Callithrix jacchus: one gene and its partners. The protein of the gene in region 3 binds, or shares a complex with, the protein of the main gene of each other region. Links are inferred from orthologs where the notes say so. Each region holds a gene or a part of one and is shown on either strand. Other genes may lie near its edges.

Region 1 (5,389 bases), on a different chromosome or scaffold from region 3:
GTGGCATGTGCCTGTAATCCCAGCTACTCAGGAGGCTAAGGCAGGAGAATTGCTTGAACTCAGGAGGCGGAGGTTGCAGTGGCCCGAGGTTGCGCCACTGCACTCCAGCCTGGGTGACAGAGCAAGACGCCCTCTCAAAAAAAAAAAAGAAGTATATCAAAAGCCTTAGAATGTTTCATAATCTTAAATTGGGAAATTCTACTTCTAGAAATTAATTCACTTCTAGAAATAATCATGAGTGTGCACAAAGTTATTACCACAAAAATATTTTACAGTATTTTTTCTAATGGGGAAGAACTAGAAATAATTTAAATTTCAATGTTTGCCAAAATACCTTTTGTATATTCACCTAATGGTATACTATGTACCCATTACAAATTATGTCCTAGAATATTTAATGGCTTGGAAAAGTGTTAATGGTATTTTTTTTAATGAAAAAAGCTTACAAAACAGTTTGTGATGATCCCATTTAAAATGTGTGTTTATTCGTAGAACAAATATTAGAAAAATAAAGATTGATATATTAAACGGTTATTTCTGGATGGCAAATTGCAAATGATTATTTTCTTTTTCTGTGGCTTATTTGTATTTTTGAAGTTTTCTAAAATGCAAAATAATATTTTATGATACGAAAAGTACAATACAATTTATTATAGAAGAAAGAATAATTCAGCTAGGCTCAGGGGCTCAAGCCTGTAATCTCAGTACTTTTGGAGGCAGGTGGTCACAAGGTCAGGAGTTTGAGACCAGCCTGGCCAACGTAGTGAAACCCGTCTCTACTAAAAATACAAAAATTAGTCGGGCATGGTGGCTTATGCCTGTAGTCCCAGCTACTTGGGAGGCTGCAGCAGGAGAATCGCTTGAACCTGGAAGGTGGAGGTTGCCGTGAGCTGAGGTCGCACCACTACAGTCCAGCTTGGGCAACAGAGTGAGACTTCGTCTTAAAAACAAGCAAAAAGAATAATTAACTGAGAAAATGGTTGGCATAGAACTTACATCTTCTACATAGTGTAATTTCTCTAGTTACTCACTTCCTTAGTAAGGCAGGAGACACTTCCTTAGTGTCTCCTAGGGTGGGAGGACCCCAGTAAGGGCAGGGATCCTCACGGCCTTCTCCCATTTGGAGCATTATTGGAGGTCTGTTATCTGCCTCTTGGTCAAATACAGCTTCTGGTAAAACTACAAAGTAACCAAAAGTTTGGGAGGTGGAAGCAATGTAACCTGTAGATCTCATAGAGTCTGTGTAAGAAACTGATTCAGTGAGAATCGAGTTTCTCCATCCAGTTTCCCCAAACAGATACTAAGGCCAACTTAGGGGGCTTGTCCAAAGCCAGGCAACCAACTTAACAAGGTGAGGCCACGACTCAATCGCCTTTCCATTCTGTGATATGCTGATTTAGACTAAAGCACTCATACTTTAAAGTGCACAGACATCTAGTTAAAATGCAGATTCTGATTCAGGTTAGCTGTGGGCCTGAGAATCTGCATTTCTAACCAGCTCCCAGGCGATGCCCACACACGGGACAAGTGTGGTATCACAGTTTAACAATGGTGTAGAGTACAGAATCTGGAGAAAGAAGGCCAGCTTCCCAATCCCAACTCTGCCATGGACCAACTGAATGATCGCGACAGTTGCCTCAGTTTCGGAGTTTTCGTGAAGACGTAGTGAGTCATTACATCGTGAAGCTTTGGAGCAGCGTTCACTAACTAGGTCTGACATTATTTATCGCATTCCTTAGAGCAAGCAGCTGGTGAAGTAGGGTTTGACCAATGAATAAGTGAATGAATGACCTTTGGAGAAAAATTCTTTCCTGGGTGACTAGAGTCCGAGAAGCAAAATGGGAGGGTCCGTGGGTGGGAGGAGGCCCACCTCCTAGAAAGTTCTCTGCACCCGGTGGTCCAGGGCCTGGAGTGCCCGGAAGCTGGCCGGCTTGCGCCCCGCGGGCCAATGGGGCCGCAAGAGGGAGGGGAGAGCGCCCAGCCAGCCCTTTCCGTCCGGGGCGTCGCAGCCCCGCCCCTCAGAGCGTTGCGACGTCCAAGCATTCCAAGGTTGCTATATCGTTGCGAGGGGCGGGGCGCCTGTCAGGGAAGCGGCGCGCGCGCGGGCGGCGGGCGGGTTGGGGATCCGCCACATAGTGCCAGCGCCAGCGCCAGCGCCAGACGTGCACCCCGCGCTCTCTGGACGGCCGCCTGCCTTGGGAATCGCGAGCCCGCACTTCTGCCCTGCCTGTGCGCTGCCCGAGTATGGAGCTGCTGTGTTGCGAAGGCACCCGGCAGGCGCCCCGGGCCGGGCCGGACCCGCAGCTGCTGGGGGACCAGCGTGTCCTGCAAAGCCTGCTCCGCCTGGAGGAGCGCTACGTGCCCCGCACCTCCTACTTCCAGTGCGTGCAGCGGGAGATCAAGCCGCACATGCGGAAGATGCTGGCTTACTGGATGCTGGAGGTACCGCCCGGACGCCCCTCACCCCACTGCTCCCGGCTCTGGACACACCGGGGCCGCCCTGCCGGGACATCCCGGTCACCACAGCAATCTGCAGGATGCTCCGGGGCTAAGACTCCCGGGGCCTGGCCTTTCACTAAGGCACCCTCTCCGGCTGCCTCCCTTGCCTTCCCGAGCCCTAATCGGCTTCTCCCGACTGTGACTGCCAGTCACTTGGCACCCTAACTGAGCCTCTCTTCGGACCGGGAAAACGGGACAAGGGATACCCTCTCCCCTTCGGCTTCTCCCTTTTCCCTCCCCCTCCTGGCCTTCTCCGGAGAGCGCGCCTGGAAAACCCTGGGCTCGGCCGCCCCCGCCCGGGAGCCGGTTCCTGTGTCTGTCGCGGGGTTCTGGCGGGGAAGGCGGTGGGGGTGGCGCGCGCCCTGTTCCGGCCGACAGGGAAATGAAAAGTGCGGGAGGCAGCGGCAGGAGCCTCCTCCCTTCCCCTCGGGTGTGTGCAGTGGTGGCGGTGATGGGGGTGAGGGCCCAGCTCTCTGGCTACCATGGGTGACCCTTGCGTCCCACTTCCCCTCACTGTGGGGGAGGGGAGTCTCCGTTTGGAATCCTCCATGAGGAAGGGCTCCTCGGCTTTACCACCTCCACCCCACCAAGGGAAGAGGGGAGGAGGCCGCTCAGAGGAAGTGGGGCGGCGTCACCTCGGGGAGGGCGCATCCTCCTCCGTTATTGGTCCTTGTCTCTGTAAGTAGCTTACCCTCTCTCCCGTTTTTGCTCCCTATCCCGCTTCACTTCACCGACCGCCCCCACCCTCCGCTGCCCCGCCGCGGTGTTCCCCACGCTCTGGCCCCAGCAGTGACTGTGCGCCCTCTCTCAGGTGTGTGAGGAGCAGCGCTGTGAGGAGGAAGTCTTTCCCCTGGCCATGAACTACCTGGATCGTTACCTGTCCTGCGTCCCCACCCGAAAGGCTCAGTTGCAGCTCCTGGGTGCGGTCTGCATGCTGCTGGCCTCCAAGCTGCGCGAGACCACGCCCCTGACCATCGAAAAACTGTGCATCTACAGCGACCACGCTCTCTCTCCCCGCCAGATGCGGGTGCGTGTGTAATCCCCCCCACCCCTGACACGTACTGTCTCCCTACTTTCTAGGAAAAGGAAAGCTTAAGACCTCAGAGGCTTTCTGTCCCCTGGAGAGGGAGCAAGGTGATCAGAGACCTTTGGGAAAGGAATTAGGGTGGAAGAAACGATGGGGCAGTGTGGTGTGATGGTTAGTATCACTCCTGCCCAGGTTTGAGCTGCAGGCAGGTATTAAACCCCCTCCTCCTGACCTCCAGGGGATGCCACTCCTTCCTGGTCTTTCCCCCAGATAGCAACAAGTCAGACTGCATGTCTACACTCACTAGTACTTTGCCTCTGGGTTTACAGAGCCACCATGAGTTATTTATTGGCAGCAGAAGGGCATGTCTGCACACCCCCACTGGAGTAGGGGAGTGGAATGTGCTTCATGTGGGGGAGGGGGTTTGCTTTGGTTGAGTCTTTATCCTCATGTGGACTTTGTGATAGAAAAGCCTCCCAGAGCAGATTAAAGCCAGGCCCTGATTGCTTTAAGGAAGGGCTGATGTATTTCATCCCACCTTCTTTGCTTCCCCTTATATCCCGATATCCCGGAAGAGGCAGCTTCTCCCTAATCCTTCCCTGTCTTCATTCTGAGGAACTGGAGCAGCTGCTTTGGGCCTGGTGGAAACAGCTCTCTCTTTCCCCCTTAGCCAAAGGCTCAAGCTGAGGGACAGACCGGGAGGTGGGCTGCAGCTGCTTCCGATGTGATAATGGTGCCCCCTCCCCCGGCCCGCCCTCTCTGACCAAGGTCTTTCATAACACTGTGGGGAGCTGCTGTCACTCCTGTGGTTTGGGAAGTGGCTCCCTGGGCCTCTTGCTGGAAACTTGGGCTGGGCTCAGGCAGGGCCAGAAAGTCACCGGTTCTATCCCGCCTCAGAAGGAGCCTGGGGAGGAGGCGAGGGAGCTGCTGGATCTGGAAGAGGTTATTTAGGACATGCAGATTGTCTCCTGGGGGGCGCTAGGGGAGAGGGTGGGTGAGCTGGCACCTTCCTCCACCTTGCTCTGTGGCCGGCCAAGTCTTCTGCTGACCCTGAGAGGAGTCTCTGGGCCCCATCTCCCAGGGAGGAGGGCAGCAAGCAGGCTGCTGTGATTGGCTGGCAGGGAAGCCAGGGTACTGGGGCCCCTGACTGCTGTGAGTTGAGGAACAGGATTCCTCTTCCTGCCAAGTAGCTCAGAGATGGGAGTAGGAGGCCAGCGTTGGGAATCCAGGAGGCTCCACAGCTCTTTGTGATGAATCTGGTAAATTTTGGCAAGTCTGAAGTAGAGTTAGTTTCCAGGACCAAAGAGCAAGATGTTTTTGGAGGGGTTGGGGCCGGAAGGTAGAAGGGGGACTTCCTCTTTGTGAAAAGATGGAGGTGGTGTGTGTGCCCATGTATGAGGGTTTTTCAGTACAGGCAAAAAGTACTCTTCCCTCTGCCTGAGCTGGGGGTAGAATGTCCAGAAGACTTCCTAGAAGGTCAGGGTTGGAAGAGGCCTCTGAGAACTCCAGTTGGTCTGAATCCCTGTGCAGCAGAGAAGGCCGAGGCCCAAGGAAGGAGGGAAGAGTCCTGCCTTAGCATCACTCTGAGAAGATGAGTGTAGAATCTGGGTCTTCTAGCTAGACGAGGTTACCTTAAAAGTCAGGGATGTCACAAACTGAAGATAAGCACTCCCAGGGGTGTGTTCTTTACCAGTTAACACTGGGATTCTCTAGTTGCCTGAATATGGGGAAGGGTAGACACCTTCCCTCACAGAGGACCCCTTGCTTCCCCATAGGGAGGATCCCACCCCCAGTTGCCTCCCAGATGCTTCCTTAGAATCTAGGTCCCTCTGTTTACTGCTGAGTGAGGAGTTGGCTCTTGGG
Region 2 (5,370 bases), on a different chromosome or scaffold from region 3:
AAACCAATTAGGAACCTTCCGGCGGTCTTGTCCCAGGCAGAGGCGACTAATATTTCCAGCAATTTAATTCCTTTTTTAATTAAAAAACGAGTCAGGACGGAGATCACTGTTCCTCGGCTGTCCTTTCAGAGATGTGTTTGGCCCGGTTAAATTGCCGGCACCGGAAGGGAGGGGGTGCATCTGGGGACCCCCGCGAGGATGGACTGGTCAAGGTAGGAAGACAGCCCGAAGAGTCTCCAGGCTAGAAGGACAAGATGAAGGAAATGCTGGCCACCATCTTGGGCTGCGGCTGGAATTTTCGGGCATTTATTTTATTTTATTTTTTGAGCGAACGCGTGCTAAGCTGAAATCCCTTAAATGTTTAGGGTTACCCCCTTGGGCATTTACAACAACCCCCATGTGAGCCGAAATGAAAAGTGCACTGGGTGGTGTGCCCTGTCCTCCGTCCCTGCATGCTAAATAGTTCTTGAAATTTACACGTGTTAATGAAAATGAAAGGAGATGCAGAAACTGAGATTCTTTGGCCGTCTGTCCGCTCGTGGGTGCCCTCGTGGCGTTCTTGGAAATGCGCCGATTCTGCCGGCTTGGATATGGGGTGTCGCCGCGCCCCGGAGTCCCCCCTCCTCGTGGTCTCCCTAGGCTGCGTGTGGCCTGTGGGGCTTCCCAGTTGTCCCCTACTGCAGAGCCACCTCCACCCCACCCCCAAATCCCGGGGGACCCGTTCGAGTCGGACCGGGCCCCCTGTACCCCTCTTTTCTGGCGGGGAGAAAGGCTGCAGCGGGGCGATTTGCATTTCTATGAAAACCGGACTACGGGGGCAACTCCGCCGCAGGGCAGGCGCGGCGCCTCGGGGATGGCTTTTGGGCTCTGCCCCTCGCTGCTCCCGGCGTTTGGCGCCCGCGCCCCCTCCCCCTGCGCCCGCCCCCGCCCCCTCCCGCTCCCATTCTCTGCCCGGCTTTGATCTCTGCTTAACAACAGTAACGTCACACGGACTACAGGGGAGTTTTGTTGAAGTTGCAAAGTCCTGGAGCCTCCAGAGGGCTGTCGGCGCAGTAGCCGCGAGCAGCAGAGTCCGCGCGCTCCGGCGAGGGGCAGAAGAGCGCGAGGGAGCGCGGGGCAGCAGGAGCGAGAGCCGAGCGCGGACGCAGCCGGAACCCACAGCCCTCCCCAGCTGCCCAGGCAGAGCCCCAGCCATGGAACACCAGCTCCTGTGCTGCGAAGTGGAGGCCATCCGCCGCGCCTACCCCGATGCCAACCTCCTCAACGACCGGGTGCTGCGGGCCATGCTGAAGGCGGAGGAGACCTGCGCACCCTCCGTGTCCTACTTCAAATGTGTGCAGAAGGAGGTCCTGCCGTCCATGCGGAAGATCGTGGCCACCTGGATGCTGGAGGTGCGGGGCTTCGGGCGGCTCTCTTAAGACCTCCCTGCAACTTGTTGCCCATACCCACGTTTCTTTGCTTCTCACTCCCCTCTCTTCTCTCCCGCTAGACCTTTGAAGTTTGCCGGGGTGTTGCTAGGTATTTTCAAAATAAAAATTGTGGGTATTTTCTGAAGAAGGAAGGGGTGGGGGTGGGGGTGCTAGGAGTTGCGTTTCCTGGGACGGGAGGAGGGGGTCGGGGAGGGGTGCCTCCAGGAGAAGCCAGTGCCAGGAGCACCCCAATGGGCCCGAGGGTGCGGGCTGGCAGGTTAGGTGCGCTTTGTGCCCCCCGCCTGCGCCCCAGCCATGCTGCGGCTCCTCTCCCGGCCGCCGCGGCCGAGAGCCTCCAACTCCGGGGGGAGGGGGCATAGATTTGATTTTTAAATTACTATCCATGGACACGTATGCAAGGGCTTCTCGTGCCAGTATTATGCGCCATCTTTGCTCTTTTATTGCACAGCAAAAGTGTTTATTAATAATTGGGGGCAGGGTGGGGGCGGGGAGCGGCCGCCGGGCGCTGGGGCCGCAACTAGGGGCCCGGCGGCTGCCCGGAGCCCGCGGGAGGGGCGCGGGGACGCAGCATGGGTAGTTTTGGGGGGACCCCGCTGGGGAAAGGGGGGCCTTTGTTCAAGCAGCGAGTCCCAAAGCGCCCCGCACGGGCAGCCTGGGCCGGAGAGCACGCCGAGCTGCAAGGTCGCGTGGCCCCCAAGACGCCAGGGCTGGATCCCCGTCTGCAGGGATCTCGGCTTGGGGGACCTTCTCCGAGCGAGCCGGGGGCCTGGGAGAACATTTTCACACCTTCGGTAGGCGCCTGAGGGGCCCGCAAGTATTTTTAAATAATTTTTGAAAGTGCGGCGTGGTGCCCTTGCGAGAGGGAAACACCGCCCGCGCCCAGGGGGAAGGGGGTCCCCGGAGTTTGAATTCCTGGGGCTTCCCCCGGACCCTGTAACAAACTCCCGACCCCCGGCCTGGGTAAAGGGCCGTCCGAGGGTCATTTTCAGGGTATTTTTACGCACTTAGTTATTTTTTAAATATTTTTAAATATTTTTTGAAAAGATGACGTCTGGGGAAATGCGGCGCGGCGGCCTGGGACGCCACCTTTGTGTCTCGCAGGCGCGGCGCCCAACCCCGCGGCCTTTTGCGCGGCCCCGCACCCCAGTGGGTGTCGACCCACAGCCAGAGGGGCCACGGAGCTCCAGGGCGGGCTGGGGTCCCCGGGGCCTGCAGCCCGCGCCGCCGCCCAGCTGTGCCCGCTCCCGCCCCCACCATGCCAGCCTCGCGGGGACTTTCCCTTTCAGTTTCAGGGAGGGTGGATACTCGGGACGCGCGCGAGAGGGGGCGCATCACAGGAAGCTTCTGCCGCCCCCGGCCCCGACCCCTCGGCGCCCTCCAGAACTGGTGGTCCTGCCGAGCGCGATGGGCATGCGAGGGCGGGGGAGTGGGGTGGGGGTGGCGCGACCTGGCGGCGGCGGTCACGGGCCCCGTGCCCCCGCAGGTCTGCGAGGAGCAGAAGTGCGAGGAGGAGGTCTTCCCGCTGGCCATGAACTACCTGGACCGCTTCCTGTCGCTGGAGCCAGTGAAAAAGAGCCGCCTGCAGCTGCTGGGGGCCACCTGCATGTTCGTGGCCTCTAAGATGAAGGAGACCATCCCCCTGACGGCCGAGAAGCTGTGCATCTACACCGACAACTCCATCCAGCCCGAGGAGCTGCTGGTAACCGCGGGACCCCCGCCGCCCCCCGCGAGCCGCAGGACCACCGGGCCGGGGAAGGTGCAGGGGCGGCAGGCGGCCCCTTTGCCGGGTGTCCTCGTCCTGGGAGCGGGTGGGATCCTAGCCGCCCCGTGCGCGCTTGCCTGCGACTCCCACCTCGTTAGCGCTCTGCGGTGTGGCCGAAAAATGGGCGGCGCGCGCCCTCCAGCGGCTGCACCGGGAACGCCGCGCTCCACGCTGAGCCTTCCGTTCCAGGTGGTGGGAAGTCTTTTTGTTTCCACTTGCAGAATCTTTTCACGCGGCGGGCGCCTTTTCTGTTTTGATCTGGGATCGTGTGTTGCCCCAGCTTCCTGGACCCCCCAGCATTCGCCAGTCCTGCTCCCGCACCCCCAGGACCACACGAGACTCAGGGGCTAGGGCCATACTGCCGGCTTCCCCGCGTCCCCAGGCCGGCCCGCACCTCCCCTGATAGCCGCTCACCCTGTGTTCGCAGCAAATGGAGCTGCTCCTGGTGAACAAGCTCAAGTGGAACCTGGCCGCCATGACCCCGCACGATTTCATCGAACACTTCCTCTCCAAAATGCCAGAGGCGGAGGAGAACAAACAGATCATCCGCAAACACGCGCAGACCTTCGTTGCCCTCTGCGCTACAGGTAGGGCAGGCCCAGCCGCCCCCAGCCTCCCCTTGAAAGCCAGCACCTTAGGTGGCCTGGCCAGCTTCTTGCTCTGCACCTGGGTGCTGTCCCGGAGGACGTCCCTAGGCCCCCGCCTGCGCTGGGAAGAGTTCTTCCAGCTCTGGTGAGCAGAGGTGCTGGCTTGTTTGCGCTGGATGGAAGGGGATTTGCCCTTACGGCCGCGCCACCACGCAGCCAGCCTGCCTGTGTCTAGATGCTGTGGCCTCATCCTCCAGGCCGAAAGGGGTTTACCTTGGCCGCAGGGCCGCCTCCTTTCCCCACCGACCTCCAGCCCTTCTTGTGTCCTTAAGGAGCCTGAGCTGCGGGGGCCCCCTCCTGGCCTCTCCCAGGCTGGGCGACTTGCCAGAGGCGCCTCCGGGGGCGGGGAGAGCTGTCGGCCCGCCTGCACCACGTGTTCTGGGCAGCTGAGTGCAGGGGTGTCCAGCAGAGGAGCTCAGCTGCCTGAGGCCCTGCCAGGGGTGCCGCCAGTCTGCTGGGCTCAGCTGAGCCCTGGGGAGCACTTCAGAGCAGTCTCAGCTTAGGCCGCCACCGTGGGCAGCAGAAGTACCCAGTCCTCACCTCCGCTGGCATGGCCCTGGCCCCAGGACCCAACTGGGATAGACACATGCATACACAGGGTGCTGCCTCCTGCTGTCCCCAGCCCTGCCTCTGACCCCCCTGTGCGCCTCCTTCCCTGGTTACCCTGATGGGGGGGCCCTGCCCCCTTTTGGTCAAGCCTCAGTTGTCACATCTGTTTGTGGGCTCACTCTGGGTGACAGGCCACAAGGTCCGGGACATCAAAGACACAATAGCATCTTCTCCCCCAATCCCTTGAGGGCAGAGCCCCCCCAAACCTATTTCAGCGCACCCTCTGACACAGGTAGCCAGCAGTTAGTGTATTATTCCAGAATGGTTTCTGGTTTCGGCGTGAGAGCTCCCCCACCTCCTCCACCTGCTTGGGGCAGGAAACCCTCCCCCATGTTTCCAAGCAAGTCCCCAAAGTGGTCAGATGAAGATGCCAAGAATGCCGTCCAGCCTGGATGGGTCTGAGGGGTGGGGGTGGTCCTGAAGCAGACAGGGAGGCGTTCTCTGGCTGGGGCTCCTCAGAGGAGAGAGGCCTCCAGAGACTCCACGCAGCCTTTTATGGAGCTGTAAGTGGCTTCAGAGAAATGCACTTTTCTGGAGACGTGGTGGGTGCCGTCCTTGCACAGCTTCCCTGCAGGGTGGCTCCAGCGGCTGAGCTCCCCTCCCAGGATCCCTGGGTGTTGGCGGGAGGCAGGGGGCAGGTGCAGTCTCGCCCTCCCCGCTACTGCACACGCTTTGTCTGTGAAGGCGCCCCCGGCGGTGGGTAAAGGAAGAGGGACACTTGGGAACCCAGTTGCTCTCAGTCTGCTCCAGGGTGGGCCCCGAGTGAGGGGCCGGAGGCCAGGGCACCCACCCCTGCAGAGTGCTCCAGGTCCTGACCCGTGCGCAGCCCAATGAACATAACTGAGCATCAGACATAACTGCCTGGGTCCTGCTGGACGTCGGTGGAGACGAGAGTGACTCAGGGCTGCTTAAAGTCAGAAAC
Region 3 (5,341 bases):
AGCCACTACGCCTGGCCAGGATGGGCTCTCTTTTAGATCCCTCTCTGTGGGTGGCTATTTGCAGCTGCAATAAAAACTACAGCCCATCTACCAACCAAGTTTCATTAACCACAGTGGCCAGGGCCCTGTGTACTGCTCTGCTTCTTCCCCCAGTCCCTCCCTGTGCCCACAGCCATCTCCAATACCAACAGCAGATGTGCTCCCAACTCCTCCATCTCAGGTACCACCGACTGCACTGGGCGGGGCCCTCTGGGGTGAAAGGCTCCACGGGGCAGAGATACATCTCGAGGCCAGTCATCCTCTGGAGGCAGCCCAATCAGGCTGTGGGGGACAGGAGAGCTGTGGTCAGGAGGGTCCTCCAGTTCCCATCCCCATGGAGAGAGCCAGTTGCCATCCTGGGCTCAGCAGAAAGAGGACTCAGAATGTAAAATATTTTTCTCCCATATTGGTCACTTACTCAAAGATTTTGCCCAACTGGTCAGCTTCAGAGTTTCCACAGAAGAGAGGCCTAAGGTAAGAAGAGACATAAGGTAGCTGTCATTTTTAAAGTATCATAGTCGAATGGCTGTTACTACTTAGTAGCCCAAAATAAAAAGTATAGCAAATAAAGACCAGTAATTCCAGCACTTTGGGATGCTAAGGTGAGACAACTCTTTGAGCCCAGGAGTTCTAGATAAGCCTGGACAAGCAAGACCTTGTCTCTTAAAAAAAAAAAAAAAAAAAAATGTCAGGTGCGGTGGCTCACGCCTGTAATCCCAGCACTTTGGGAGGCAGAGGTGGGCAGATCATGAGGCCAAGAGATGGAGACCATCCTGGCCTACATGGTGAAACCCCGTCTCTACTAAAAATATAAAAATTAGCTTGGCACGGTGGTGTACACCTGTAGTCCCAGCTCCTCGGGAGGCTGAGGCAGAAGAATTGCTTGAACCCGGGAGGTAGAGGTTGCCGTGAGCCAAGATCGCACCACTGCACTCCAGCCTAGCAACAGAGCCACACTCTGTCTTGAAAAAAAAAAAAAAAAGCCATTCATGGTGGCGTGCGCCTGTAGTAGTCCCAGCTACTCAGGAGGCTGAGACAGGAGGACTGCTTGAGCCCAAGAGGTAGAGGGTACAGTGAGCTGTAATTGTGCCACTGCACTCCAGCCTGGGTGATAGAGTGAGACCTTGTCTCAAATAAATAAATAAATAAAGGAGAATAAAGGGATATGAAGTTCCCAATTCCAGAACATTTTAGTGCTTCCCGTTATGGCCAAGGTAGTCAGTAGAACTCAAGTAAACGAATGGGGCCAGGTGCAGTAGGTCATGCTTGTAATTCCAGCACTTTGAGAGGTAGAGTTGGGAGGACTGCTTGAGTGTAAGAGTTCAAGACCAGCCTGGGCAATATACTGAGACCCCATCTCTACAAAAATATTAAAAAATAGCCAGGCATGGAGGTGTGCGCCTATAGTGTGAGCTACTCGGGAGGCTGAGATGGGAGGATCACTTGAGCCCAGGAGGTTGAAGCTTCAGTGAACTGTGATCATGTCATTGCAATCTAGCCTGGACAACAGAGAAGACCCTGTCTCCAACAAAAAAAAAAAAAAAAAAGAAGAAGAATGGAAGGGAGGTTTGGATGTGGTTTATGAACAAGAGATTTGGGGAATTCAAGGTGGTCCAGGGTATGTGGGTCCCATACTTTCGACGAAACATCTCAGCAAAGATACAGCCAACACTCCACATGTCCACAGGTGTTGCATATGTGGACTGCAGAAGAACTTCGGGAGCTCGGTACCAGAGTGTAACCACCTAAAGGGGATAGGAAAAATGGATGGGGATCCCATGCGTTACCATGAAATACAACTGACTTAACTGAACACATGAAGCACATGACTTCTCAATTGTTATGGGCCACCACTCTCCTACTCCCAACCAGAACCCATATTGGTACCATCTTTCTACTGACCACAGGTGTAAGTGCCATCTGGTAGCTGTAGATTCTGGCCAGGCCAAAGTCAGCCAGCTTGACTGTTCCACCACTTGTCACCAGAATGTTCTCTGGCTTCAGATCTCGGTGAACGATGCAATTGGCATGAAGAAAATCTAGGCCTCTTAGAAACTGGCGCATCAGATCCTAGTTCAGAAGGGGGAGGAACAGATGCACTGGAAACTAGGCACCATCCCTGAAATCCCAGGAGGTTCTACTACAAAGGTCCCAATTCACCTCTCAATGCCTACCAACCCCACTCACCTTGATGGTCTCTGCAGGCAAGCCTGGTGGGGGTGCCTTGTCCAGATATGTCCTTAGATCTTGGTCTACATGCTCAAACACCAGGGTTACCTTGATCTCTCGGTCAGTTCGCGATGTGGCACAGACATCCATCAGCCTGGCCAGAGTAAATGCTCACTTGTCAATCCCCTTTAACCCACATGACCTCTCATTATTTCCTCTGGGTCCCCACTTCTCACCAGATCACCACACCCCACCTATAGACTGTCTTTTCCCTTTACTGCCCACTCCCAACCCTCCACCGCCTTCTCACCGGACAACGTTGGGATGCTCAAAAGCCTCCAGTCGCCTCAGTAAGGCCACTTCACGAACTGTGCTGACGGGAAGGCCTCCTCCAGCTCCTCCATTGGGGACTCTCACACTCTTGAGGGCCACAAAGTGGCCACTGTGGGGATCACGGGCCTTGTACACTGTCCCATAGGCACCGACACCAATTTCAGCCACTGGCTCATATCGAGAGGTAGCCATTCTCAGATCAAGGGAGACCCTACAATCACAAAGACTCCTATCACTAAAAGTCCCTTACAGAGTTAGGATGGTATGAGCCTGCAGCAACAAAGGGACTCCCAAGAAAAAGCACAAAGAACAACACCAGCATCCCATCCCCCGCTCCCAATCTTCCTTGGGCCGGCCCCGGAGATAACACAATGACTCAATACCAACCCCTGCAGCCACGTGAGGCCCTACAATAAAAAATGCCTTTTCTTTTGGGACAATCGCGCCCCGTACAAAGATCACACATGACACACGCCTTGCATCGAAGATCTTACACCTCAGTCCCTAAAATTATACCTTCCCACGACCACAAAGGCCCCATTTCCCGCCCTTGAACGACCCTTTCATAACCAGCTCTCGAAACGCACGCGTGGAAAGCTGGGATGGGGCTGCACTTACCTCACGCCAGGCCGGGGTGCTGCGGGGGCGGCCCGTTATCGGGGCCCCGGAGCCGGTTCCTGCGGCCCCATACACCCGGGCTCTGTCCCGGGCAGCTGGACGCAGAGGGCCCGACCATAGACACAGGCCGCAGGCTAGAGAGGCCCCCTCACCCCCACCCTCACCATGTGACCAGATGCCAAAGAGGCGCGCGGAAACTGGGAGGGCGGGGCGAACGCCGGACGTTCTGGGCACGTGACCGCCAGCCAAGCGCTGTGGGGGCGGCCAGGAGCCGCTTTGACGGGGAGGAGAGCTAAGAGCGTAAGAGGGGCGGAGGGGAGATACAGCCATGTGATCTGTTGCTATCACACGTGACCGCTTGACATTGCTCGGAGGAGCAGAGGTGTGGTTACGCGAAGGGCACGTGACTAGCTGCCACAACCCCGCTGCGGGTGGGGGGGCGCGGTAGGGGGCAAGAGAGGGTGGAGCCCAAGGCGGTGCCATGGCAACCCAGGCCACCCAGAGCCCAACTCCGGGCTGAAAGATTGTTTCACTGGTCTTTCAGCCTGACTACATTGGGGAGAGGGTGGGAGTTGGGGGACCAGAGGTGGTACTATCACCTTTTTGCTTCACCGTGAGAAAACATACTCTCATTTGTGCCATTGTTTCACTCATTCATTCTACAAAATTGTACTGAGTGCTTGTTGCCAGTGTGTATGTGGGTTTTTATTTTGTTTTGTTTTTGGTGTCTGTCACTGGCTCTTTAAAGTAGTGGTACGACTATCTATAAAGATGTAGCCAACAATGGGGTCTTATAAAATAGGTAGTAGACAATGCCCACTGGAGGGCAAAACTTCAATTAGGGGATGGACAGAAGGCAGATTAATACAGTAAGACAACAGGAACAGTGGCAAAGTAATGCCCTCTAGTTCCCAACTTCCAAACCTTCCTGGAAGTGTTAATGCAAAGACTTGAGGCCATCTGGCAGAGAAGTTATTGATGAGCAGGAGACAGGAATACTTGACCTTTATGTTTTTTGTTTTTGTTTTTTCAGTAGGAAGATTCTATGATTATGTGAGATTAAGATATATGTGTGTATATATATACTTCTAGGTATATATATATGTATGTATGTTATATTACTTATTACATGTCGTAGACAGGCGCATGTGCAAGAAGTTACCACCACACCCCCTGCACCCTCCAGACAACCACAGTAAATGGGAATGACGTGCTTTTCTGCAAGCTTGTGACTGTTCATTTGGAGTCACTGTGCTTCCCTTTTTCCCTAGTGCAGCTTTCTTAGCACTTAGCACCATCCAGAACCAGCACTTAGCACCATTTTTCCCAAATGGCCTCTGCCCACAGACACCTAGGTTGACAGAGGTAGATTTCTCCTACCTTTTTTGTTTTATTGGCTCCAGGTTCTTTATCTCCCAGCCCTTTAGGGGTATGGGAGTAAAGGAGGAAAGTGGTTAGTGTCTCATTTGTGAGAATTGACAATTTGTCTAAAATATATATAAATATATATTTTTTGTCTAAAAATATATATAAATGTATATTTTAGACAAAATATATATGTATTTTTTGAGACGGAGTTTCGCTTTGTTGCCAGGGGTGGAGTGCAATAGTGTGATGTGCCACCACGCCTGTGATCCCAGCTAATTTTGTATTTTTAGTAGAGACAGGGTTTCTCCATGTTGGTCAGGCTGGTCTCAAACTCCCAACCTCAAGTTATCTGCCTGCCTCAGCCTCCCAAAATGCTGGGATTACAGTCGTGAGACACTGTGCCCAGCTGAATTTGTCTAAAATCTAAAGCTGGTTTATTACCTTATTTGCCACTCCTTCCACCCTAACTTCTGTTTTCCTGAACCATCTGGCTGAGAATATAAGAGTTCAAACTAGAAGATGAATATAAACTATTATTTAGAGCAAAACAGGATACATGTTAATACAGATGCCTCCTCTTTCCATCCTGATACTTGTAGCCCTGGGTCCCTCCTGGTAAGGGCAACTGGAACACTAGTAAAAAAAAAACCTCAAGGACTGAACTGACTAAGGGGCTCAAGAGGTGAATGTTTTATTGGCTCCCTTGCTGGGGTGGGTGCTTTGTAAGCCTTCTGGAAAGCTAAGATAAGTGTCTGTGAGTTTCTCAAACTCCCTGCCCACATCAGCATTCCCCACTTCAGCCTCACCTTCCGCA
Region 4 (5,370 bases), about 51 Mb from region 3:
GACTGTGACAGCTGCATTTAAATATCAGCGACCACAGGTCGCATCAAGGAAACATCTGCAGGCAACCCAGGGCCTGGGAAGGAGCCATTTTGAGTCACTTGTAAGACAGCAGGACCTGCAGACTACAGCACAATCAAACCCAGACGAAACCCTGAACCAGTGAGGACCATCAGGAAGGAAAGGCACAGAAAATGAACCAACCCGAGTGGTAGGAGACCTGCAGCTAGTCCTGTATCCGTTACCAACCGAATGCATGTCCCTGGACAGGAAACCTCTCTGAGTCTCAGTTTCCTCCGTGGTAAAAACGAGAGGGTTAAACCACAGGGTCCCGAAGGTCCCTTCCAGCTGTCACATTCTGGAGTGTATGAGATGAGGTAGGCACACAAAGTGGACAAACAAGATGTGGCTAAGAAAACGAGCCACACATGAAGTTCATCTGTAGCATAGGTGCATAAGAAAATTAGGCTGCCGTGTGATACTAGAACGGAAGGTTGGTTTCCAGCAAAATGTATTAACTTTGGCCCAAACCGAGATGATGGGTACGGGGCATGGGGGTGGGGAGAGCAGCTGAAGATCCACTGAGCTTTGTCTCAGGGCAGCCCTGCTCGTCGTCCTACTTTACCTTCCACCACGGTGCTCAAGCCCACAATGAGAGAAATTTCCAGCTGCAAAAGGGAGCAGAGAAACGCTGGAATATCGGACATTAGGACATGGTTTGGTGGCTTTAAGAATCATTTCATCATCTGGAGTTTGGCCCCGAGGGGAGTATTTTCACCCTTCAGCCCTCTGAAAGCATTCACTAGCATCTGAATATTGTTCTGAGTTTGTTGGAGCAGTGAAATCTGGTGAGAGAGAAGGGTGGAGGAAGGAAGGAGCTGTTGTATTTGGCGGCTGGACCCAGGTAGAGGAAACTGCTACAATCCCGGGAAAGAACTGAAAAGTAGAGAGAGACAGTTCCCACACGCAGCCGACGTCCATGGCCTTAACTCTGCTTGGGAAGCAAGAGCCTGGGCCAGGGGTGTAACCTCGGTTTTCAAAACTGAATGTGTCTGGGACAGCTACAGCGTTTATTAATGGACTTGAGAGACTACTCGAGTTTTTTTTTTTTTTAAATCTTGAGTTCCTTTCTTAATTTTCATGGAGAGAGAGCTTGAGTTTATGGTAAGTGCCGCGTCTACTCCTGGCTAATTTCTAAAAGAAAGACCTTCGCCTTGGCTTCTTCCCTAGGCCTGCTACCTCCCCAGGGATGGCAGAAACTTCTGGATTAAGGCTGAGCGAACTACCACCCACCCCCAGCTAAGGCAAACCGGCCGGGGCGGTGCCCAGCCCCTCCAGCAAACGCTCCACGGCCTCCCCCACAGGCCGCGAGGTGGGGGCCACTGGGGAAGGTTGAGCTGGGGGCAGCTCGCCACTTCGGCTCTAAGCGAGCTGCTGGTGACCTTCGAGGTCCTCTGGTCTAGGCCCCCGGCTTCCCGGGCAAGGAGCGGGAGGTCGGGACTTAGGCGCCGCGCCGGGCCCCGAACCCCAGGCCCCGCCCCAGCTTCCCGGCCGTTTGGCTAGTTTGTTTGTCTTAATTTTAATTTCTCCGAGGCCAGCCAGAGCAGGTTTGTTGGCAGCAGTACACCTCCAGCAGTCACGCGACCAGCCAATGTCCCGGCGGCGCTCGGGGAGGCGGCGCGCTCGGGAACGCGGGGAGGAGGCGGAACGGCGCCGGGGCCACCTTAAGCCTGCGCTAGCCAGCCTCGGCGGGGCGGCTCCCGGCGCCGCAACCAATGGATCTCCTCCTCTGTTTAAATAGACTAGCCGTGTCAATCATTTTCTTCTTCGTCAGCCTCCCTTCCACCGCCATATTGGGCCACTAAAAAAGGGGGCTCGTCTTTTCGGGGTGTTTTTCGCCCCCTCCCCTGTCCCCGCTTGCTCACGGCTCCGCGACTCCGACGCCGGCAAGGTTTGGAGAGCGGCTGGGTTCGCGGGACCCGCGGGCTTGCACCGCCCGGACTCGGACGGGCTTTGCCACCCCCTCCGCTTGCCTGGTCCCCTCCCCGCCCCTCCCCGCCCTCCCACTCGCCAGTCCACTTGATCAGCGGAGACTCGGCGGCTGGGCAGGGGCTTCTCCGCAGCCCCATCCCGCAGACCCTGCGCGCTCCTGTAGCTCGGGCCGTGGCTCGTCCGGGTCCGTGTCTTTTGGCTCCGAGGGCAGTCGCTGGGCTCCCGAGTGTGGTTCGGGCTGCGTAGGGGCGTTTTGTTTTGTTTCGTGTTTTTGAGAGTGCGAGAGAGGCGGCCGTACAGACCCGGGGGGAAGATGTCAAACGTGCGAATGTCTAACGGGAGCCCCAGCCTGGAGCGGATGGACGCCAGGCAGGCGGAGCACCCCAAGCCCTCGGCCTGCAGGAACCTCTTCGGCCCGGTGGACCACGAAGAGTTAACCCGGGACTTGGAGAAGCACTGCAGAGACATGGAAGAGGCGAGCCAGCTCAAGTGGAATTTCGATTTTCAGAATCACAAGCCCCTGGAGGGCAAGTACGAGTGGCAAGAGGTGGAGAAGGGCAGCTTGCCCGAGTTCTACTACAGACCCCCGCGCCCCCCCAAAGGCGCCTGCAAGGTGCCGGCTCAGGAGAGCCAGGATGTCAGCGGGAGCCGCCCGGCGGCGCCTTTAATTGGGGCTCCGGCTAACTCTGAGGACACGCACTTGGTAGACCCAAAGACTGATCCGTCCGACAGCCAGACGGGGTTAGCGGAGCAGTGCGCAGGAATAAGGAAGCGACCTGCAGCTGACGGTAATGGCCCCTTCCCAACCGTAGATTGTTTGTGTCTGGGGGCCCGCTTTGCCTGCTGGAGGGTGTTAATCTCAGCTTGTTTTCCGGCGTATTCTGATTTAATTTTGGAAGGGCTAACTTTTTTGGTCTTAGGTTTCCAGTGCTACCTGACCCACTGCTTGTCTGTTTGTAACTTTTAAGTCAGAAACTGGAGATGGTAAGATCCGATAATTTCCCTAATTTAGGACGTCGCAGTCCCTCCCACTAGCCAGCCTTAGGTATGTGACAAAGTTGGGATGTTTATCAATGGTCCGCCTCCTGGCTAGCGAGAGCGCTCTGGGGCGGAGAATGCACTTTCTGTTTTTTGAAAACAACCTCATTTTGTGCCCTTAAAGGCCATTTGGGATGACGGATACAGGATTGTGGGTGGAGGTGGTGGGTTTTTCATCCCCTAAATATCGGGCCAACTTCTGCATCCATTGTTTTTTCTAACAAAGATTGTGTGTTCTTTTTAAAAATTTCCCCCACTCTTAGATTCTTCTACTCAAAACAAAAGAGCCAACAGAACAGAAGAAAATGTTTCAGACGGTTCCCCGAATGCCGGTTCTGTGGAGCAGACGCCCAAGAAGCCTGGCCTCAGAAGACGTCAGACGTAAACAGTTCGGTGGGTTTGATCAGCAAAGGAGCACGCACTGAAACCCAGGGCCTTCAGAACCCACGACACCTGATCTTACTGTTTGCTGGCAGATTAAAAGCCTGTGGGGTTTTGTTTTGTTTATACTTCGTGAGGTCAAAAAAGTAGCGATTGGGAAGGCTGGGAATCACTGTGGGGATACTGTAATTCTTCAAAGTTTCTTTGCCCGAAGATACTTTCTCTTGAAATAGTAGACCAGAGCAGCTACTGTAACCAAGGCCCCGTCGGGTAGGAAGGGCATTTTTCTGTGAGTCCTACTGAGACATATAACAATAAGTTCTTTCCCCATCTGAACAAGAATTGGGGTACTCCCTCAGTCCCACTTCATGAGAGTTAATTTCCCAGAGGTTCAGTTTGAGTCTGTAACATTTTTGAGCCATACATGGAAAAATGGCAAATACATAATTAAGTTTAAATTTTGAGGGGAATATGTGGTAGAAATTGCTCACCTTTGGTGATGCAAGGGATTGGAGATGTGAATAGGGTGTTGTTATGTTGTGTTCTGTCTTTGACATTTTCATAAACGGTCACTTTCCCTGTTCTAGAGAGTTTGTAGAGAGAAGGAATCAGTATTTACAAAAAGCAAAATGGAAAGATAAAAAAATTACTAAAGTTTCTCAATTTCTGGGAACACTCAAGTTGCAAAGCAGAAGTTAGATTAACTCTGTCAGTAAGCAATCCGTGAACAGGTCAGCCAGTGTATGCTAATTGTGCTGTAATAGGGTGATTTGATATTTGTAGGGGAAATGGGTAGTAAATATCAAGACTGGTGACCGTGGGTCAACCCAGCACAAAGGAAGTGGAGATTTTTCCGTACTCAATCTGATCACCGTTAATAGCTAATTTGAATAATTCAGCCCCCAAATGTACATGGATTAGCTAGTCATAATTATCGAATTAACATACATATTAAGTTTTTTAGTGTCTTATAGACCAAGATTGTGACCTCTTTCTTTTTTAAAGCACATACATAGCTTAGCATATGAGGCGATCTTGATAAATATTGTTAACTTATTAAATCCTCATTTATAAAAATTTTAACAGGGATTAAGGTGGGATTCAGGTTTGTTGTGTCTTTAAATTGTGTATTCGACTTCACTATACCTTGTATTTTTCAGAGCTTATACAGAACGGTACTATAGAGCCTGTTTCATAGTACCATATGAAGTGAGAAAATTAGGTGAAAATTTTCCCGAAGCAGCCTTGACACTCGCAACTCCTGTTGGTTTGTGACTTGTAACCTAGCTCATCAGATGAGCCATGAGAATCAAACCTGGATTTTGATCTGGCCCCATTCTGACACGCAGAGAGGCATTTGTTAGTAATATTGCCAGTTCAAAGAATACTAGAAATATTAGTAAGAACTTACTCAGAAGGATTCATGAATAAATTCTGTGTATGAATAAAAAAATATTTTGAAAATGATGTTAATAAAATTTTCTTCTGGAAGACCTTTGTAATTTTTATTCCTAATCATTTTTCAAATTTAGAAAATTTAATATGTCACAGTAGAGAAAAAAATTTTTTTAATTTAAAGAAAATTTAATTTTTTAAATAAATTTATGAATAAAAAATTTGTAAATTTTTACCCTTAATTATTACAGTTTCCTAATTTTCCTGTTTCTTTCCCACTTGTCTGTGACCTAGATTTTTTAGATAGGGTTTCTCAACCTCTGCACTACTGACATTTTGGGCCGAGTAATTCTTTGTTGTAGGAAACTGCCCTGTGTGTTTTAGATTGTTTGGCAGTATCTCTGGCCTTTCCCACTAGATGCCAGCAGCATCTTCTCCCCCAGTGTGACAACCTAAAATGTCTCCAGACATTGCCAAATGTTCCCTGGGGGGCAAGGGCAACACTGCCCACTGTTAAGAACCACTGCTCTAGACAAAAGTACACAGCATCGGAGAGGGAAAAAAATC
Region 5 (5,314 bases), on a different chromosome or scaffold from region 3:
AGCTATGTTAGAAGAAGAGAATGTGCACTGGACACATTTTTCCCACAAAGTGGGCCTCAAGTTTTCCCCTCAAAGTGGGCCTCACATTTTTCCCTCAAAGTGAGCCTCTTTTAGTTGGAGAATGACTTGGCACTCCCCAGGAGGGCACGGCATTGTTAGAATGAACCCTCTTTCTGGCCCACCACCACCACTGACTCACTATGGCAGGCAAGCATTTACTCAATGTAGCTGAAAAGATCAGGAGGATGACATTAATAAATAAAAATCCATATATAATAAAAAATGATGTGCAAAGAATTATTTCATTGTGAAGCCCAATACTACAAAACTTTATAATTCATTACAAACCTTTATTAAAAAAAAAAAAAAAAAAAAGGCTTGGGGCATGCCTGGGCAGAGATTTCCAGACTGAGCAGCCTGAGATGTCAGTAATTGCAGCTGCTCCAAGCCTGGCTCCTATTTTTTAGTGGGATTTATTTTCAGATTAACAATCCATCCTCTGCAATTTTTCAAAGCAAAACTGCACATGTTTCAGGCACATAAAGGAGGCAAAGATGAAGTCCAAGGGAGGTCAGAGGTATGGGGTAGACGGGAGCAGATAGACACGTTACTCATTTCTGTGTCTGGCAGAAGCACCAGTAGACACTTCCAGAATTATCCTTTATTTATGTCATTTCCATAAACTGTCTGCAAATGAGGGTTATTGGGTATTTTTGTCATTCTGGAGCCACAGAAATAAAGGGTGACAAGCACAGAGCCTTGGGCAGGAGGCAAAAGTCCTGTGTTCCCACCATAGTCATTTCTTTGCTGCATAATCTGAGTCAGGTCACTAAACTCTTCTGAGCCTCAGTTTCCCCAGCAGTGTATATGGGCCCTGTGGGGAGTATTTAGGAGACAGACAACTCACTCATCAAATCCTCTGCTTCCTAGCCAACAAAGCTGCAATCACAGAGTTCTTCTGTTGAGGTGAGTGTACGGTGTACGGAGATTGGTTCAATGTCCAATTCCTCCTCGGTTTTCTGATAGTGTCTCCAATTCCCTCCTTCCCGGAAGCATGTGACAATCAACATCTTTGTATACTTAAGTTCAGTGGACCTTCAGTTGCCTCATCTGTGAAATAAAGGGGACTGAAAAATCATTCTGGCCTCAAGATGTTTTGTTGGGGTGTCTAGGTGCCTCAGGTGTGTCTGGGAGAGGTGACCTAATGAGGGATCAATGGGAATAGAGGTGGTATCGTGGGGCTTTTCTGGAAATTGCAGAGAGGCGCATCGTTTTTATTATTTATGGATTTTTATTTACGACTGTCATCCTCCTGATCTTTTCAGCTGCATTGGGTAAATCCTTGCCTGCCATAGTGGGTCAGCGGTGGGCCAGAAAGGGGGCTCATTCGAACAGCGCCCTCCTGGGGAGTGCCAAGTCATTCTCCAACTAAAAAAGGCCAAATTTGAGGCTCACTTTGTGGGAAAAATGTGTCCAGTGTACCGACGCACGTTAGAGACAACGGGAGGAGGGAAGCGCCCTCCTGCAGCACGCGAGGTTCCGGGACCGTCTGGGGCTGCTGGAACTCTGCCAGGCTCAGCTGGCTCGGCGCTGGGCAGCCAGGGCCCCGGGCCTGGGGGAGGGCCGTCCAGGGGCGGCGCGGTAGGACGAGCGCGGGTCCCGCCCCTCCTGGGGGTAGGTTATATTTGCGCCCGCAGAGCGGCACCAGTTGAGGTGTGAGCAGCTGCGGGAGTCAGTTCCTTGTGGGGTCAGAGCTGAGCGCGGATTCGCCGAGGCACCGAGGCACTCAGAGGAGGTGAGGGAGCGGCGGCAGCCAACAGGGGACCCCAGGCCGCCGGCCCAGAGCCGAGCCGAGCGAGCCTGCCTGTGTCCGTGGGTGTCGCGGGGATGCGTGTCCGCGGGTGTGCGCTGCGTTCACAGGTGTTTCTGAGGCAGGTGAATGACGGGCGTGGGTCTGTGCCTGCTCGGCTTCCGCATACGGTGTCTGTAAAGTGCTCGGGTGACGGGGATCGGGATGTGCCGGAGACTCCGGGCGGAGAGCGGGATTACAAGTACAGGGATCCCGGGCCACGCTCCCCGCCCCTAGAAACCCAGCTGGGGCGAGGGAGGGCGTAGACGGGGCCGCTCTGGGAGCTCGCCTTCCGCAGCGGTGGGCTCCAAGCCCCAGGTGCAGTTTGCTCCTGGCGTGGGAATGAAGTCCGTGTCCCTGGAGGGGTCCAGGAGGGGCGAGGAAAGCGGAGTGGAGTAAGTTCGTCTGGGATCGGTCCCGGGCGGTTTTCGGAACCAAGCGGCGCCGCCCTGGCTCACGTCCCGGGGTTCAGGTCCTCTACGCCACTGTGTCCACCACCTGGCTGGGCGCTGAGGTAAGTGCGAGCAGTTTCCTGGCCCTTGGGAATGTGCCAGGACACGTCCCCTAAGGACAAGCGAGGAGCTGACTCATTGTGACAAGGAGACCCCAGGGAACGGACTGTATAAGGTCAGAACTTCGCCCGGGCTGGGGTACAGTGGGAACCCAGAAGCCCCCTCCCTGTCCCTTCAGGTCTCGCCCTCCCATCAGCACAGTGACCAATTTGGCTGGCACAGCGTGTTCCCAGGGAAGCCGGGCACTGGAGGTCCAGGTCGCCGCGTCTGATCCCCGCTCCGCGGCGCGCCCTAGGGGCCGGGGAGTCAACGCCCTGCGCTGGGCGGGCTCTAACCAGCCTGTCAGTCGAGGAAGGGCAGGGGTCTTCTCTACCTCTTTACCACCGCGGCCGGGAGAACCACGGCCCAGCTTGTCCTCGAGTCGGGGCGCTGGACTCCCGGGCAAGAGCGGAGCCTACGCCTGAGTGGGAGGTGGGGAGAGATCCTGTCTTTGCGGCGTTGGTGGCGTTTCTGGGGGGCACGACACTGCTCAGGGCCTCCATCAGCTGCCGCGGGGGCTCGGGGTGCCCCGACCTAGCCCAGATTCCCTCTCCGAAAGCGACAAGACTGAGCGGAGCAGCGGGGTGAGCGCCGCCGCCGGGCGCGGACCACGGCACGTCCTCTCAGTCCGGAATCCCCGGGGGACACTTGCGCCCTCTTAGTGCAGAAAAACATCTAGGGGATGGGTTTGGAACTTGGGGCGCCTAGACAGCTTCCCGTCTCCTTCCCTCGCTCCACGTCGTGTTTTTGGGAGAACTTCCGAGAGATTTTGTTTTCGTTGCTCCCGTCTATTTTTATTTTCCAGGGATCTGACTCATCCCGTGCTTTGGGCGTGGAGATAAGGTGGAGGGGCCAGCTCTCGGCGCGCGCGCGCGTGTGTGTGTGTGTGTGTGCGCGCCCGCGCGCCCGTGTGTCTGTGTCAGAGACGGCGCAGGAGCGCGCGGTTTCGCAACAGCGGCGGGAGTTTTGGAAGCCTGGCCTGCCCAGCGTGACGTGTTCGCGGCCCTCCGGTCCCCTCCCATTCTCCCTCTCCCCACCCCAGTGTGACGCGCAGCCGGAGTGGAAGCGGAGTTTTGGCGGGGGCGGGCAGCGCCTTGCGGGAAACTGACTCATCGCTACTCCCCCGCTGTCCAATGCTCTGCCCACGTACCTCCCACCCCGCGCGTGATTTCCTGGAGGCCGGCGCCCCCTCCCGGCCCTGGTGAGAATGGCACACCCGCTTTCCCGCGGAGTGGGGCTGGCAGGCGGGAACCACCGCGGGTACTCCGGGCTCATCTGAGATCAACCCCTATGCCATTCACCGCTCCTTCAAAGGAACACTCCTTAGGTTCAACAGTATTTATTGAGCTCTTACTGGAAATTAAAGTATGACTGAAGTCTAAGGCAGGAAGGCCAACAAAGGAGGCTATTCTCAGTTATTTGTAGAACAAGGGTTTGCGTTTCTGAGTTTTCTTTGGGCTGAAAGTTATGACAATGCGCCTGAGAGCAGATTTAGATGGGGGAGGAGAGGCCTATGAGAGCCCTAAGGGAAGGGGTGGTAGAAGAGGAAAGGGTGCCTGCCTAGATCCTAGTCTTATCCTGAGCTCCTGAGAGCCAGGGAATATCCTTGATGGAGCCCTTCCTTGTGCCTCTGATGTATTGAGACCCAGAATGTCCATTTCAAACACACCAGTGTCCCCCTTGTCTGATACCCCAAGAGTGCCCATCTGAGGAACTGTGCTGAACACTTGCTTAAATCTTCAAACACCTACTTAAATCTTCAATCTGGATTAAGTTGGTCTCAAGAGGCAGGGCCTTGAAAAAGCTCCCTAAGTGATTTTTTTTTTTTTTTGAGACAGGGTCTCACTCTGTTACCCAGGCTGGAGTGCAATGGCACCATCCTAGACTCAAGCAATCTTCCTGTTTCAGCCTTTCAAGAAGCTGGGACCATAGTCGTGAGCCCCCATGCCCAGCTAATTTTTTTTTTTTTTTTTTGAGACAGAATCTCACTCTGTCACCCAGGCTGGAGTGCAGTGGCGTGATCTCAGCTCATTGCAACCTCCACCTCTTGGGTTCAAGCAATTCTCCTGCCTCAGCCTCCTGAGTAGCTGGAACTACAGGTGTGCACCACCACGCCCAGCTAGTTTTTATAATTTTAGGAGAGATAGGGTTTTTGCCGTGTTGGCCAGGCTGGTCTTGAACTCCTGACTTCAAGTGATCTGCCTGCCGCAGCGTCCCAAAGTTCTGCGATTGTAGACGTGAGCCACTGCGCCCAGCCCACCAGCTAATTTTTATTTTTAGTAGAGATAGGGTCTCTCTGTGTTGCTCAGGCTGGTCTTGAACCCCTGGGCTCAAATGATTCCCCCACCTTAGCCTCCCAGAGTATTAGATTACAGGTGTGAGCCACTGCCCCTGGCCTCCCCAACTGATTCTGATGGGACTCTCTGGTTAAGAAACCTCAAAATTAGAGAGGGAGTAGGTTCAATACTAGAGCACAGGACTCAGGGCAAACAGGCCTGTGTTCAGATCCTGACTCTGCCATTTATGAACTGTGTGACACTGGACAAGTTGCTTAACTTCTCTGAGCCTTTGTTACCTCTGCTGTAAAAAGGGAGCAAATAGCTATTCACTTTTTAGAGGATTGACATTTTTAAACTGCTTAGAACAGCCCCCATACATGAAAATATACAAATGAATCCCAACTCATGCCTAGGAGAGGGTAGACAGAGGTTCCTTGAGGGCTCTGTCCACTGTACTGTGTGACTCCTTTATGGGGCAGTGGCCTTTGGCCTTTTTAGCTGTATGACTTGGGGGCAAGTCTCGTATCTCTTCCATCTCCTGCCCTTTAAACTTGGTGTGAGGTTACCAAGCACCTCCTCTCCCAACCAGCTGGGACGTGAAACTGATCACAAGCAGTGGGGTGAGGTGGGATGGA

The links.
Region 1: the proteins of CDK4 (region 3) and CCND3 are in contact, whole or in part, in a crystal structure (PDB 7SJ3), measured with the Homo sapiens proteins. The link is inferred for Callithrix jacchus from reciprocal best matches to the Homo sapiens genes CDK4 and CCND3. Residues at the interface, in NP_000066.1 of Homo sapiens: Gly46, Gly47, Gly48, Leu49, Ile51, Thr53, Val54, Arg55, Val57, Ala58, Leu59, Arg61, Arg62, Glu64, Ala65, Phe66, Val77, Ala79, Val89, Asp129, His132, Ala133, Asn134, Cys135, Arg163, Ile164, Tyr165, Ser166, Tyr167, Gln168; in NP_001751.1 of Homo sapiens: His11, Pro13, Arg14, Ala15, Gly16, Pro17, Asp18, Arg20, Leu21, Arg26, Val27, Ser30, Leu31, Arg33, Leu34, Arg37, Tyr38, Glu74, Lys112, Leu113, Arg114, Glu115, Thr116, Pro118, Ile121, Glu122, Pro134, Arg138, Glu141, Val142.
Region 2: the proteins of CDK4 (region 3) and CCND1 are in contact, whole or in part, in a crystal structure (PDB 2W96), measured with the Homo sapiens proteins. The link is inferred for Callithrix jacchus from reciprocal best matches to the Homo sapiens genes CDK4 and CCND1. Residues at the interface, in NP_000066.1 of Homo sapiens: Gly45, Gly48, Leu49, Ile51, Thr53, Val54, Arg55, Val57, Ala58, Leu59, Arg61, Arg62, Ala65, Phe66, Asp76, Val77, Cys78, Ala79, Arg82, Ile87, Val89, Asp129, His132, Ala133, Asn134, Cys135, Ser285, Phe287, Arg288; in NP_444284.1 of Homo sapiens: Leu6, Cys7, Cys8, Glu9, Val10, Thr12, Ile13, Ala30, Lys33, Ala34, Thr37, Phe108, Lys112, Met113, Glu115, Pro118, Leu119, Thr120, Ala121, Leu138, Gln139, Glu141, Leu142, Val145, Asn146, Lys149, Trp150, Asn151, Leu152, Ala153.
Region 4: the proteins of CDK4 (region 3) and CDKN1B are in contact, whole or in part, in a crystal structure (PDB 6P8F), measured with the Homo sapiens proteins. The link is inferred for Callithrix jacchus from reciprocal best matches to the Homo sapiens genes CDK4 and CDKN1B. Residues at the interface, in NP_000066.1 of Homo sapiens: Gly18, Thr19, Val20, Tyr21, Lys22, Ala23, Arg24, Asp25, Pro26, His27, Ser28, His30, Val32, Leu34, Ser36, Met75, Asp76, Cys78, Ala79, Thr80, Ser81, Lys88, Thr90, Val92; in NP_004055.1 of Homo sapiens: Glu53, Ser56, Lys59, Trp60, Phe62, Phe64, Gln65, His67, Lys68, Pro69, Lys73, Tyr74, Glu75, Trp76, Gln77, Glu78, Val79.
Region 5: the proteins of CDK4 (region 3) and CDKN1A are in contact, whole or in part, in a crystal structure (PDB 6P8H), measured with the Homo sapiens proteins. The link is inferred for Callithrix jacchus from reciprocal best matches to the Homo sapiens genes CDK4 and CDKN1A. Residues at the interface, in NP_000066.1 of Homo sapiens: Gly18, Thr19, Val20, Tyr21, Lys22, Ala23, Asp25, Val32, Leu34, Ser36, Met75, Asp76, Cys78, Ala79, Thr80, Lys88, Thr90, Val92; in NP_000380.1 of Homo sapiens: Met38, Cys41, Ile42, Ala45, Arg48, Trp49, Phe51, Phe53, Val54, Glu56, Asp62, Phe63, Ala64, Trp65, Glu66, Arg67.

Annotation. Positions count from the first base shown.
Region 1 is NC_133505.1:50,441,931-50,447,319, reverse strand, and holds the start of CCND3 (G1/S-specific cyclin-D3), read left to right. Parts: upstream 1-2,084; 5' UTR 2,085-2,244; coding exon 2,245-2,441; coding exon of another isoform or gene 2,442-2,442; exon of another isoform or gene 2,443-2,718; coding exon 2,719-2,929; exon of another isoform or gene 2,930-3,177; intron 3,178-3,310; coding exon 3,311-3,526; intron 3,527-5,389. UniProt on the Homo sapiens protein: Regulatory component of the cyclin D3-CDK4 (DC) complex that phosphorylates and inhibits members of the retinoblastoma (RB) protein family including RB1 and regulates the cell-cycle during G(1)/S transition.
Region 2 is NC_133511.1:126,558,429-126,563,798, forward strand, and holds the start of CCND1 (G1/S-specific cyclin-D1), read left to right. Parts: upstream 1-1,916; 5' UTR 1,917-1,999; coding exon 2,000-2,221; intron 2,222-2,913; coding exon 2,914-3,129; intron 3,130-3,619; coding exon 3,620-3,779; intron 3,780-5,370. UniProt on the Homo sapiens protein: Regulatory component of the cyclin D1-CDK4 (DC) complex that phosphorylates and inhibits members of the retinoblastoma (RB) protein family including RB1 and regulates the cell-cycle during G(1)/S transition.
Region 3 is NC_133510.1:61,952,666-61,958,006, reverse strand, and holds the start of CDK4 (cyclin-dependent kinase 4), read right to left. Parts: upstream 3,284-5,341; 5' UTR 3,160-3,283; intron 2,753-3,159; 5' UTR 2,734-2,752; coding exon 2,519-2,733; intron 2,363-2,518; coding exon 2,227-2,362; intron 2,110-2,226; coding exon 1,942-2,109; intron 1,785-1,941; coding exon 1,675-1,784; intron 509-1,674; coding exon 458-508; intron 322-457; coding exon 186-321; intron 1-185.
Region 4 is NC_133510.1:10,588,519-10,593,888, reverse strand, and holds the start of CDKN1B (cyclin-dependent kinase inhibitor 1B), read left to right. Parts: upstream 1-1,826; 5' UTR 1,827-2,302; coding exon 2,303-2,777; intron 2,778-3,290; coding exon 3,291-3,412; 3' UTR 3,413-3,420; intron 3,421-5,370. UniProt on the Homo sapiens protein: Important regulator of cell cycle progression. Inhibits the kinase activity of CDK2 bound to cyclin A, but has little inhibitory activity on CDK2 bound to SPDYA. Involved in G1 arrest. Potent inhibitor of cyclin E- and cyclin A-CDK2 complexes.
Region 5 is NC_133505.1:44,980,496-44,985,809, forward strand, and holds the start of CDKN1A (cyclin-dependent kinase inhibitor 1), read left to right. Parts: upstream 1-1,680; 5' UTR 1,681-1,795; intron 1,796-1,935; exon of another isoform or gene 1,936-3,601; intron 3,602-5,314. UniProt on the Homo sapiens protein: Plays an important role in controlling cell cycle progression and DNA damage-induced G2 arrest. Involved in p53/TP53 mediated inhibition of cellular proliferation in response to DNA damage.